2 separate regions of the Mus musculus genome follow, and region 2 is reported to be linked to region 1. Evidence: microRNA targets listed by miRTarBase, many of them from high-throughput screens and not tested one by one. Region 1 holds a microRNA gene; the other region holds the end of a gene's coding sequence.

Region 1 (3,000 bases):
CCTAGAGCTCGTGTCTCTAGCTGCATATGTATCAGAAGATGGCCTAGTTGGCCATCAGTGGAAAGAGAGGCCCATTGGTCGTGCAAACTTTATATGCCTCAGTACAGGGGAATGCCAGGGCCAAGAAGTGGGAGTGGATGGGTGGGGGAGTGAGTGGGGGAGGGTGTGGGGGACTTTTGGGATAGCATTGGAAATGTAAATGAAATGAATACCTAATTTAAAAAAAAGAAAACAGGTTAAATAGACCTTAAAATAATTTTAAACCTTTAAATCTCCATAATACTTGGCATATAATGCTTGTGTACCATGGCTACTGACATGCAAGACACAAAAATGGTAAAATAGTGTTATGTTTTCTTAAATGCCTATTATAAAATAATTGAATGTTATAATTAAATAGTATTCTGTATGTTTGTTTCCTATATGTGTTCATTGATGAAAGGATGGGTACATGATACATCATACATTCCCTGTTTTTAAAATATCTTTTTAGTGAACTTGTAAATGTGAGATGCTGTAAAGGCCACTTATTTACTGTTTTAGCCTGTATTGACTAGTGTCCACTTACAGCCACAGCCTAACATCTTTACCACAGAGAAGCTAATTAGGTGTCAAATTAAGAAGCAAGGACCATACACATATTCACTACATATGCATAGTAAATTACCTGTATATATCACGTATGAACATCTGGTGAGCAGCAGTGAGGTGGCATGCAGACTTAGAAAGTGTCATTCCCCTGCCCCAGCAATGAACAGTTCTCCTCTGCAGGGTCAGTGTGAAGGACAACTTCCTTCCCACGCATGCTTCTCTTTCTTTATTACAGTGTGCACTGTCATTAGTGTCGTAGGTTAAATAGTTTTTTTATGCACTTAGAAAGGCTTATCCTTTGTTTAGAAGCTGTTTATCCCCTTCATTGAAACCATTCCTTAATCTGATGTTTTTGTTCTGTAATTTCTAACCCTGAACTTTGATAAGGTTAAGATACCAGAAAAGTAGTTCATGTTGGCAAAAGTACTAAGGAACACAGCCCTGATTATCAAGGTAGGTAAAAATGGCCATAGAATGTTTTCTTCTTATTTGTCCTTGTTTCATTCTTGAAGTGATAGTTCCCACAGGAGAAATACTAATTGCTTAAACATAGCCACATTAACACTTCCCCCAGACCCCTGCAGCCTTCACTTCTGCCCATAGTAGCCTATATGTCAAAGATTAACACTGTTCTACCCTTTATGACTATTGGTAACTTTCAAGAAAACTAAATGCTAATTTCAGTTTTTAATTTGTGAATGCTCTTTCCTTAACCTGTGTTTGCCACCTATAAATTTTCTTGTCGAGGATTCTGAACCAAAGCAATACAATAATCGAAAAATATAAAAGTCAATAATTTTGAGCAAAGTCAAAGCATAATTTTAACATAAATTCCTCATATTTTATTATCAGGTAATACATATTTATCCTTAGTGCTATTTTCACCCAAATCCCCTAGCATACCAGTAAACCTTAATAACTGTGGTTATAACTTTAGCAGTGCAACCGTTTCTATCCATATTATTTAAGGCTTTAGTCATTTAGTGAAACTGTCGTATATTTATGCCTTTGGCATTTAGAGAGCACAGAGCTCTTCTACAGGAAATAATGCTTTGAATTCTGGGACTGGTTTTCCTTCCATTGAATTGCTTGTCATCCAGGTATGGGTTTGATAAACTGACACAAAGGTGAAAGAAGTTCCTCTCCTATGTCATCTTATCAAATACACTGTGGACAGCACATCTTTGTGGTGAGTACAGCTGCAGTCACTCAAGGAATCCATGAAGCTTATGCTCAGTGAAACATAGCCTCAGTATTTTCAGGTGATTTTAATGAACACCTGATAAAACTGAGGTATAGTACCACAGAACTGGGAATTTCCCCAAACCTAGGAAAAATAAACAAATGCACAGGGTTATAGGATGGAAGCACCCCTTGTTCATCTTAGTGGCAGAAGAGACATTAATGAAAGAGATAATTCTTTAATTTGCTTTCATTCTGGTAAACATTGTCAAGTTACATTATAAACATACTTGAATTTTAAAATAAGAAAAATGGAATAGAATTGATTTTATATATACTTTCCTATTTTGCATAACATTAGATAGTCTGAATTTTTGCTTTTATCTGGATTCATATTTGTTTAATTTCAATTATTTTATTTGAAAATACATCCTCAGAAGTGTAGTATTTTTTAAAAACAAACAAAAAAGCCTAACAGTACACCAGAATCATTTGTATACTGTCCAGGTTCAAGAATTGTCATGTGAGAAAGATATTTTCTGAAATTTATTCTTGCACTAAAAGTATATAATTCAGGCTCAGGTCAAAAGCTGATTCTATTAATCCAAAGTAACATTGTTAAATCTTTTCAATTTTGGATGAATTTACCTGCTATATACAATATGGAAACACAACTTTGGCGATTCCTTCTATTTTTTTTTTTTTTTAAGTCTTTGCAGAGTAAATGGCATCATACAATTCCAGTACCTTCTCAGTGTGGCTGCAGGGCTGTGTGGACACGGGAGGCGTAGTACAGTGGTCCTCGGCAGAGCAGAAGGTGCTCTCCATCCTGCTAAGAACTGCAGCATCCAGGAGCTTTTCTGAACAAGGGACTTCTTTTAAATATGTCTAGTCACCTCAAAAGCTGTGTAGACCATTTCCTGCCAGTAGGATTAGAGGAAGGAAGCACCAGGCCATAGTGTTTGATGTGTGATGTACTGTAATTCTTTTCATGTGTTTGCTGGCTTTTATATGATGATCAGTGTTCTGCTACCAATTGTGACCCTGGTGTGGTCCAGGTTATTAAAGTTCAGACATCTTTAATGTATAGGTTCATTACATATCTAGCCTAGCCGCATTGTTGTAATTAAGGATTGATTTATGTTACTTACCCAACACTCATCTTCATTAAAATATTTATGTTTTATAATTGAGTAATTTTCTTAGTGACTGTGATCTTAGTGGCTA
Region 2 (6,072 bases), not on the chromosome of region 1:
GCTCTCTTTAAGTTTCTTTTGGATTTTTAAGAAACATTCATTTAGAGAGTATGCAGGCACACGCATGTCCCGTTGTGAGTGTGAAGGCCAGATGGCAACCTGTCCTTTTACCCCCTGGATCCTAGGGACCGAATTCAGGTCCTTAGACTTAGTACCTCTAGCCCCTGAGCCAGACTAGATTTCTTTTATTGCATCTTAATTTATTTATTTATTGTGCATGGGAGGGGAGTATCATGTGATGGTCAGAGACAACTTGTGAGAGTAGTTTTCCTTCTGCCCTGTAGGCCCTGGGAATGATTTGCCAAGCTTGGTGGGAGATGCCTTTACCTATCCAGCCTTTTTTTTTTTGTAATGTATATTGGTGTTTTGTCTCATGTATCTCTGAGGGTATCAGATCCCCTGGAACTGGAGTTATAGTTTTTGAGCTGCCATGTGGGAGCTGGGTATCGAACCCGGGTCTTCTGAAAGAGCAGCCAGTGTTCTTAGCCATTGACCATTTCTACAGCCCCAACTTACTGCCTTACTTGACTGTTTATTCTGTTTTGTTTTTGTTTTTTAGTTTTGGTTTTTCGAGACAGGGTTTCTCTGTGTAGCCCTGGCTGTCCTGGAACTCACTCTGTAGACCAGGCTGGCCTCGAACTCAAAAATCTGCCTGCCTCTGCCTCCCGAGTGCTGGGATTAAAGGCCTGCGCCACCACCGCCCAGCTGTTCTGTTGTTTTATCTGACTTTGAGATATGGTCTTTCTCTGTGATCTTCCTGCCTTAGTGCTTTGAATGCTAGGATTGCAGTTAGGTGTGCACCTCCTTTCTGATCGTCTCCCTTTCTCTTCAACATTTCTTTGTTAGGCTACGCATGGTGATGACTTTAATCCCAGCACTTGGGAGACAGAGGCAGGTAGATCTCTGGGAGTGTAAAGCCTGCCTGGTCTACAGAGTGAGTTCCAGGGTGCAGAGAAACCCTGTCTTGAAAAACCAACGAGAGAGAGAGAGAGAGAGAGAGAGAGAGAGAGAGAGAGAGAGAGAGAGAAAGAGAGAGAGCGAGAGATGTATTTTCTTAGTGTGTGGGAATACATGGGTGCTATGACATTATAGAGGTCAGAGGACAGTCTGCTGAGTCTCCTGAGGGCTTCCCATCTTGCCATAGAAGAGCTGACATTATGGGTATTTACCCCCCAAACTCTAGGGCTTTTTAACTTATTTATTTAGTGGGAGGAGGCACACAGGCATAGGTGTGGAGGTCAGAAGACAACTTGCAGGAATCAGTTCTCTCAGTCCCCCGTACAGTCTGGAGATCAAATTGATATTGCCAAGTTCAGTGGCAGTTACTTTTACCCACTTAGCCATTTAAATGAGTTTATAATAAACAGCTGGGCCAGCTCAGCACCCATTGTTAGAAGTATCAAGTACCAGGCCTTGCAGGTACATGAGTGAGCTAGATAGATGTTCAAAGACCCCTCCCTCTTTTGGTGTCTGAATCCAAGAGAAAGAAGACCAAAAATCATCATGAAATTGGGCACATGCAACATTCTGAGGTCCTGTGAAGAAAGGAAGATGGAGTAAGGGCTGCCCATGGTGAGGACCAGAGGGGTTTGCAGCAGAAAATATAATATGGGCAAGTCTTTTGGGACAGGTGAATTTGAGCAAAGAGTGGCATGACATGGGGGCAAAATGAGGCATGGTCAAATCTGGGAAAAGCTGTACCAGGCAGTAGAACAGCCCAGTGCAAAGCCCCTGGGGTGGGAGCCATCTCCAGTCCTATGTTATACTGCCTGGGTAAGAGAAGCAGGAAGGAATCAGAGCCAGTCTGCAAATGAGTCTCTGTGGCAACGTGCTCATCAGTCTATGAGAGGCTCTGGGTTTGCTTCTCAGCACCAGGAAAGAAGGGATGGCTCTGCTAGTCCCCGTGAGCACAAGGGGAGCAGCAAATGACCACTGGCTATATGCAGACAGTGCATTGAGATAGGATCACTCATTGAACTTGAAGCTGAACTGGCATGCCAAAGAGCTCCCAGGACCCCTGTCCCCACCCCACAATACAGAAGTTACAAGCACCCAGCCATGCTTGGCATTTAAACTTGGGTTCTCATGCTTCCACAGTGAATCCTCTTAATTTACCGATCTTTTCTCCAGAAATCCCTAAACAGGGACTTTGCTATTGGGAGTCACGTTCTGGGTTTCTTCCTGCAGCTTGCAACTCTGCAGAGGGACCAGAGGGAGGAGGAGGTGGAAGACACCAGAGATGGGGCAGGGGATGGTGAGTGTCTAGAGAGCCCTCACTTCGCCCCAGGGTTGCTTGGCTGGGAGTACATCCAAAGAACTTGGAGATGCTGAGCACTTAACCGCTCCACAGGGTCCAGCCACTGCCCTGAGGACTTGGCCCTGGGAGCACAATCCCGGGGCCACTTCAGCCGCCAGCCAGTGAAGTATTCCCGGGGAGGTGTGAGGCCAGTTACTCATCAACTCTCCAGCCTGGCTCTGGTGGCCTCCAAGCTGTGTGAGGAGACTCCTGTCACTGTCTCAGCAGTGCACCGAGGTAGTTTGAGGGTACGAGGTTTGGGCCCTGCTGCTGCCTGCCCTGAAGGCAGCCCCCTGCGCCGGAACCCTCTGCCCAAGCACTTTGAGATCACCCAGGAGACAGCCCGACTTCTCTCCAAGCTGAACAGTGATGCTGTGTCCAGGACCACCTGTTGTGCTGACCCAGAGCCTGAGGAGTCTGAAGAGCACCTCTGACCACCTACCATCCTGAGGGACCCAGAACTGAATTGATGGTCCCTGACCCAACCTGGTGACCAAACCAATTCAGTGGGGTGTGGGGAGAGACGGGGTTACCAGTGAGTTCCGGTAATGAAGATTACCTACCTGTGGGAGTCCCAAGACACTTGGTTGAAGTGTCCCATCATCTCCCTGCCAGAGGAGATTTAAACAGCTAGGCAACACAGGTGCAGGTGTTTCGGGGTCAAGACTCAATGGTCAATACAGATCAGTAGATCCTTGGGGACTACCCGAGTCTCTGACCTCTGAGACGGGTGTCTTGACTATTTCAGTCATAATGGCTCCTGGCCCTACTACACTTGCAGCAGTAACAGACTCCCAAGTTAGCAGGTGGCTGCAGCCCAGCCCTGTCTCCTTTTAATTTGTTTGTTTGTTTGTTTGTTTTAAGCTAAGTCTCACTGTGTAGCTCTGGCTGGTCTGGAGCTCCCTTTGTGAGCCACAAATCCTCTGCCTCCCAAGTGCTGGCTAAATCTGTGTTCTTACAACCTCCAAATAAAACCATATCCTGCTGCCGGCAGGAGGGCTGACCGCAGTGGTGCTTGCTGTAAAGCCTCACATTTGTTGGACCTCCCAGAGCCACTTAGTGGAAGGAGAGAGCCCATCCCTACAAATTGTCTGACCTGTGCACATGCACAAATAAAAGAAAATTTTAATTTAAAAAAAAAAATCCGCTGGGCGGTAGTGCCACACACCTCTACTTGATCCTAGCACTCAGGAGATAGAGGCAGGAGGATCTCTGAGTTTTATGCCAGCCAGGTGTACAGAGAAAGTTCCAGGACAGCCAGGGCTACACAGAGAAACCCTGTTTCAGAAAAACAAAATAAAATAAGATAAATCTTGTCTGTTCTTGCACATTTGTCTTTGTGCTGGAATGCTGACAATAAGTCACCAGTAAGAGCAGCGTCTTTAACCCTTTATTAAGGGCCAGATGATGGAACCAAGGCTTCTAAACACACCCTGGGAAACCTACTGGCAATTAGTGTAGGGCCTGGAGCCCAAGATGAGTCACTCAGCTCAGTGTCCCTGATCCGGTTCTACACAATCAAATACAACTCGGTGCAGATAATCGGGACAATGGGGCTGTGTGCTGCGAACCGGGGGAGGTCAGGGGAGGAGGCTGCTGCAGGCTCGAGCCAGCGGCAGGCTGGGGCGAGACTTCGGGAAGCAAGGTAGTGCGGCAGCAGTGGGGCGAGGGTCCAGCCGGGAGATTGACCACGGAACAGTGGGGCGGGGCTTGCAGCTCGGTAAAGGATTGGACAGAAACGGGGGGGGGGGCGCCCGCAGAGCCCCCCCCCCCCCCGCTGTGGATCTTTTCAACTGCCAGGTGACTCAGCCCCAAAGGCGCGAAAGGGCAAGCACGTGAGATGTGCGGGGGGGGGGGGGGGGGGGAGTAGAAAGGGTGCCCCACGTGGGAAAAGGGGGCTGTGGGGAGGCGGTGAAATGACCACAGTTTCAGGAGATCACACTTCCGACGTGGGGGTGGGACTTTCCAGGGGGCGGGACACCCCCAAGGGCCAAGAGCTAAGGCAGGTGGGGGCGTGGCTTTGAGGTCCCGCCTCTCCCGCCTCCTCAGCCGGGGGCTCCAGGAACACCGGACGCTGCTGCGCAACCGCTCGGTTGCCCGGCCATGGGTCTCAGTCCTGCTTCAACCCACCGCGAGCCAGCCCCATCTGCCGCTTGACTGGATGTGCAGGTAAGACCAACACCAACCGGTTTAGGGTGGGTGCAGGCCACCGAAGAAAGCGAGGCGGGGCCCCCTCTTCTCCACAATCCTTCTCCTAGCCCAGGGTTGTCTGCAATACCCTCTTTTGTCCTGGAGGCCTTCTTGGCCCTCAGTCCCACCCAGGAATGGACTGCTTTCAGAGCTCTTGCGCGGAATCCTGCCTGTAACTCAACTTCTGGGCGGTCTCTGTCTACTCTGCTCGCGCTAAGTCCCCTCAGTGCCTTGGCATTGCCCTCCGGGTGTTGACCACGGACCTCGCTCTGGTGTGCACACACCCCCTGGCCTCTGCACTGTGCAAGGACCCTGGCACAAGTTTGATCTTCTTAAGGCTAACCCCAGCAGCTCACTCCGCCTTTGTGCTGCCCCAGCCAACCCACCCACGCCCATTGAAAACCACAGGTGTCCAACCCAGTCACGGATTAGTGGCACGTGGCACTGAATTGCAATGTGGATGCATTTGCTCTGGGTTCTTAAGATTTAAAAAAGAAAAGAAAAGCCGATCAGAAAACCGTTTTAAATTGTTATGCCAGCATTCAGCAGAGGCTAGTGGATCTCTGATTTTGAGGCCAGTGTGGTCTCAAAGCAAGTTCTAGGTCAGTTGGGATGCATCGAGAGACCCTGCTTTATGAGTAAATAAATAGAAATTGCTTTTTAAAGGTCACTTTGGCCTTCAGCACAGACTTCTTGCACAGAGGGCCTCTGATCCTGTAGGTTGCACTCACCCAATCTTGATTCTAGTCTCTGGCCACTGCTTTGTTCAAGTGCCCTTCCATCAGGGGCCACCTGCACTGATCTGTCTTCTGTATCCACAGGCAGCCATCATGGGCCAGTGCTACTACAACGAGACCATCGGCTTTTTCTATAATAACAGCGGCAAGGAGCTCAGCCTTCACTGGCGCCCCAAAGATGTGGTGGTGGTGGCCCTGGGGCTGACAGTCAGTGTGCTGGTATTGCTGACCAATCTGCTGGTTATTGCAGCCATCGCCTCCAACCGACGCTTCCACCAGCCCATATACTACCTGCTTGGCAACTTGGCTGCGGCTGACCTCTTCGCTGGCATGGCCTACCTCTTCCTCATGTTCCATACTGGCCCACGCACTGCCAGGCTCTCCATCAAAGGCTGGTTCCTGCGACAGGGCCTGCTGGACACCAGCCTCACGGCGTCAGTGGCCACACTGCTGGCCATCGCTGTGGAACGGCACCGCAGTGTGATGGCGGTACAGCTACACAGCCGCCTGCCCCGGGGCCGTGTGGTCACACTCATCGTGGGTGTGTGGGCGGCTGCACTGGGTCTGGGGTTGCTACCTGCACACTTCTGGCACTGCCTCTGTGACTTGGACAGTTGCTCACGCATGGTGCCCCTGTTCAGCCGCTCCTACTTGGCTGCGTGGGCCCTATCCAGCCTGCTTGTCTTCCTACTCATGGTAGCTGTCTACACACGAATTTTCTTCTATGTGCGTAGACGGGTGGAACGCATGGCGGAGCACGTCAGCTGCCATCCCCGCTACCGAGAGACCACACTCAGCCTAGTCAAGACGGTTGTCATCATTCTGGGTGAGTGGGTGCTCTGACAATAG

Evidence for each region. Region 1 holds the annotated microRNA mmu-miR-875-3p (CCUGAAAAUACUGAGGCUAUG, at 1,834-1,854, opposite strand). A microRNA usually pairs through its seed, bases 2 to 8, with sites in the 3' UTR of a target mRNA and lowers its output. Matches are read on the target gene's strand: a 7mer-m8 pairs with bases 2 to 8, a 7mer-A1 pairs with bases 2 to 7 and ends in A, and an 8mer does both.
Region 2: the mRNA of Gmip is a reported target of mmu-miR-875-3p. Seed matches in the 3' UTR shown: 7mer-A1 at 3,578-3,584.

What each region holds. Positions count from the first base shown.
Region 1 is chr15:35,659,149-35,662,148 of GRCm38, forward strand. Mir875 (microRNA 875) reads right to left here and starts at 1,899; the gene lies at 1,822-1,899. All of the region lies in intron 30 of Vps13b (vacuolar protein sorting 13B), which reads left to right. Mir599 (microRNA 599) reads right to left here and starts at 1,770; the gene lies at 1,683-1,770.
Region 2 is chr8:69,818,247-69,824,318 of GRCm38, forward strand. It overlaps Gmip (Gem-interacting protein), which reads left to right. Exons shown (of 21, transcript NM_198101.1): 20 at 2,188-2,254; 21 at 2,351-3,624. The coding sequence ends at 2,730. Lpar2 (lysophosphatidic acid receptor 2) reads left to right here and starts at 4,319. Exons shown (of 3, transcript NM_020028.3): 1 at 4,319-4,465; 2 at 5,308-6,049. The coding sequence starts at 5,317.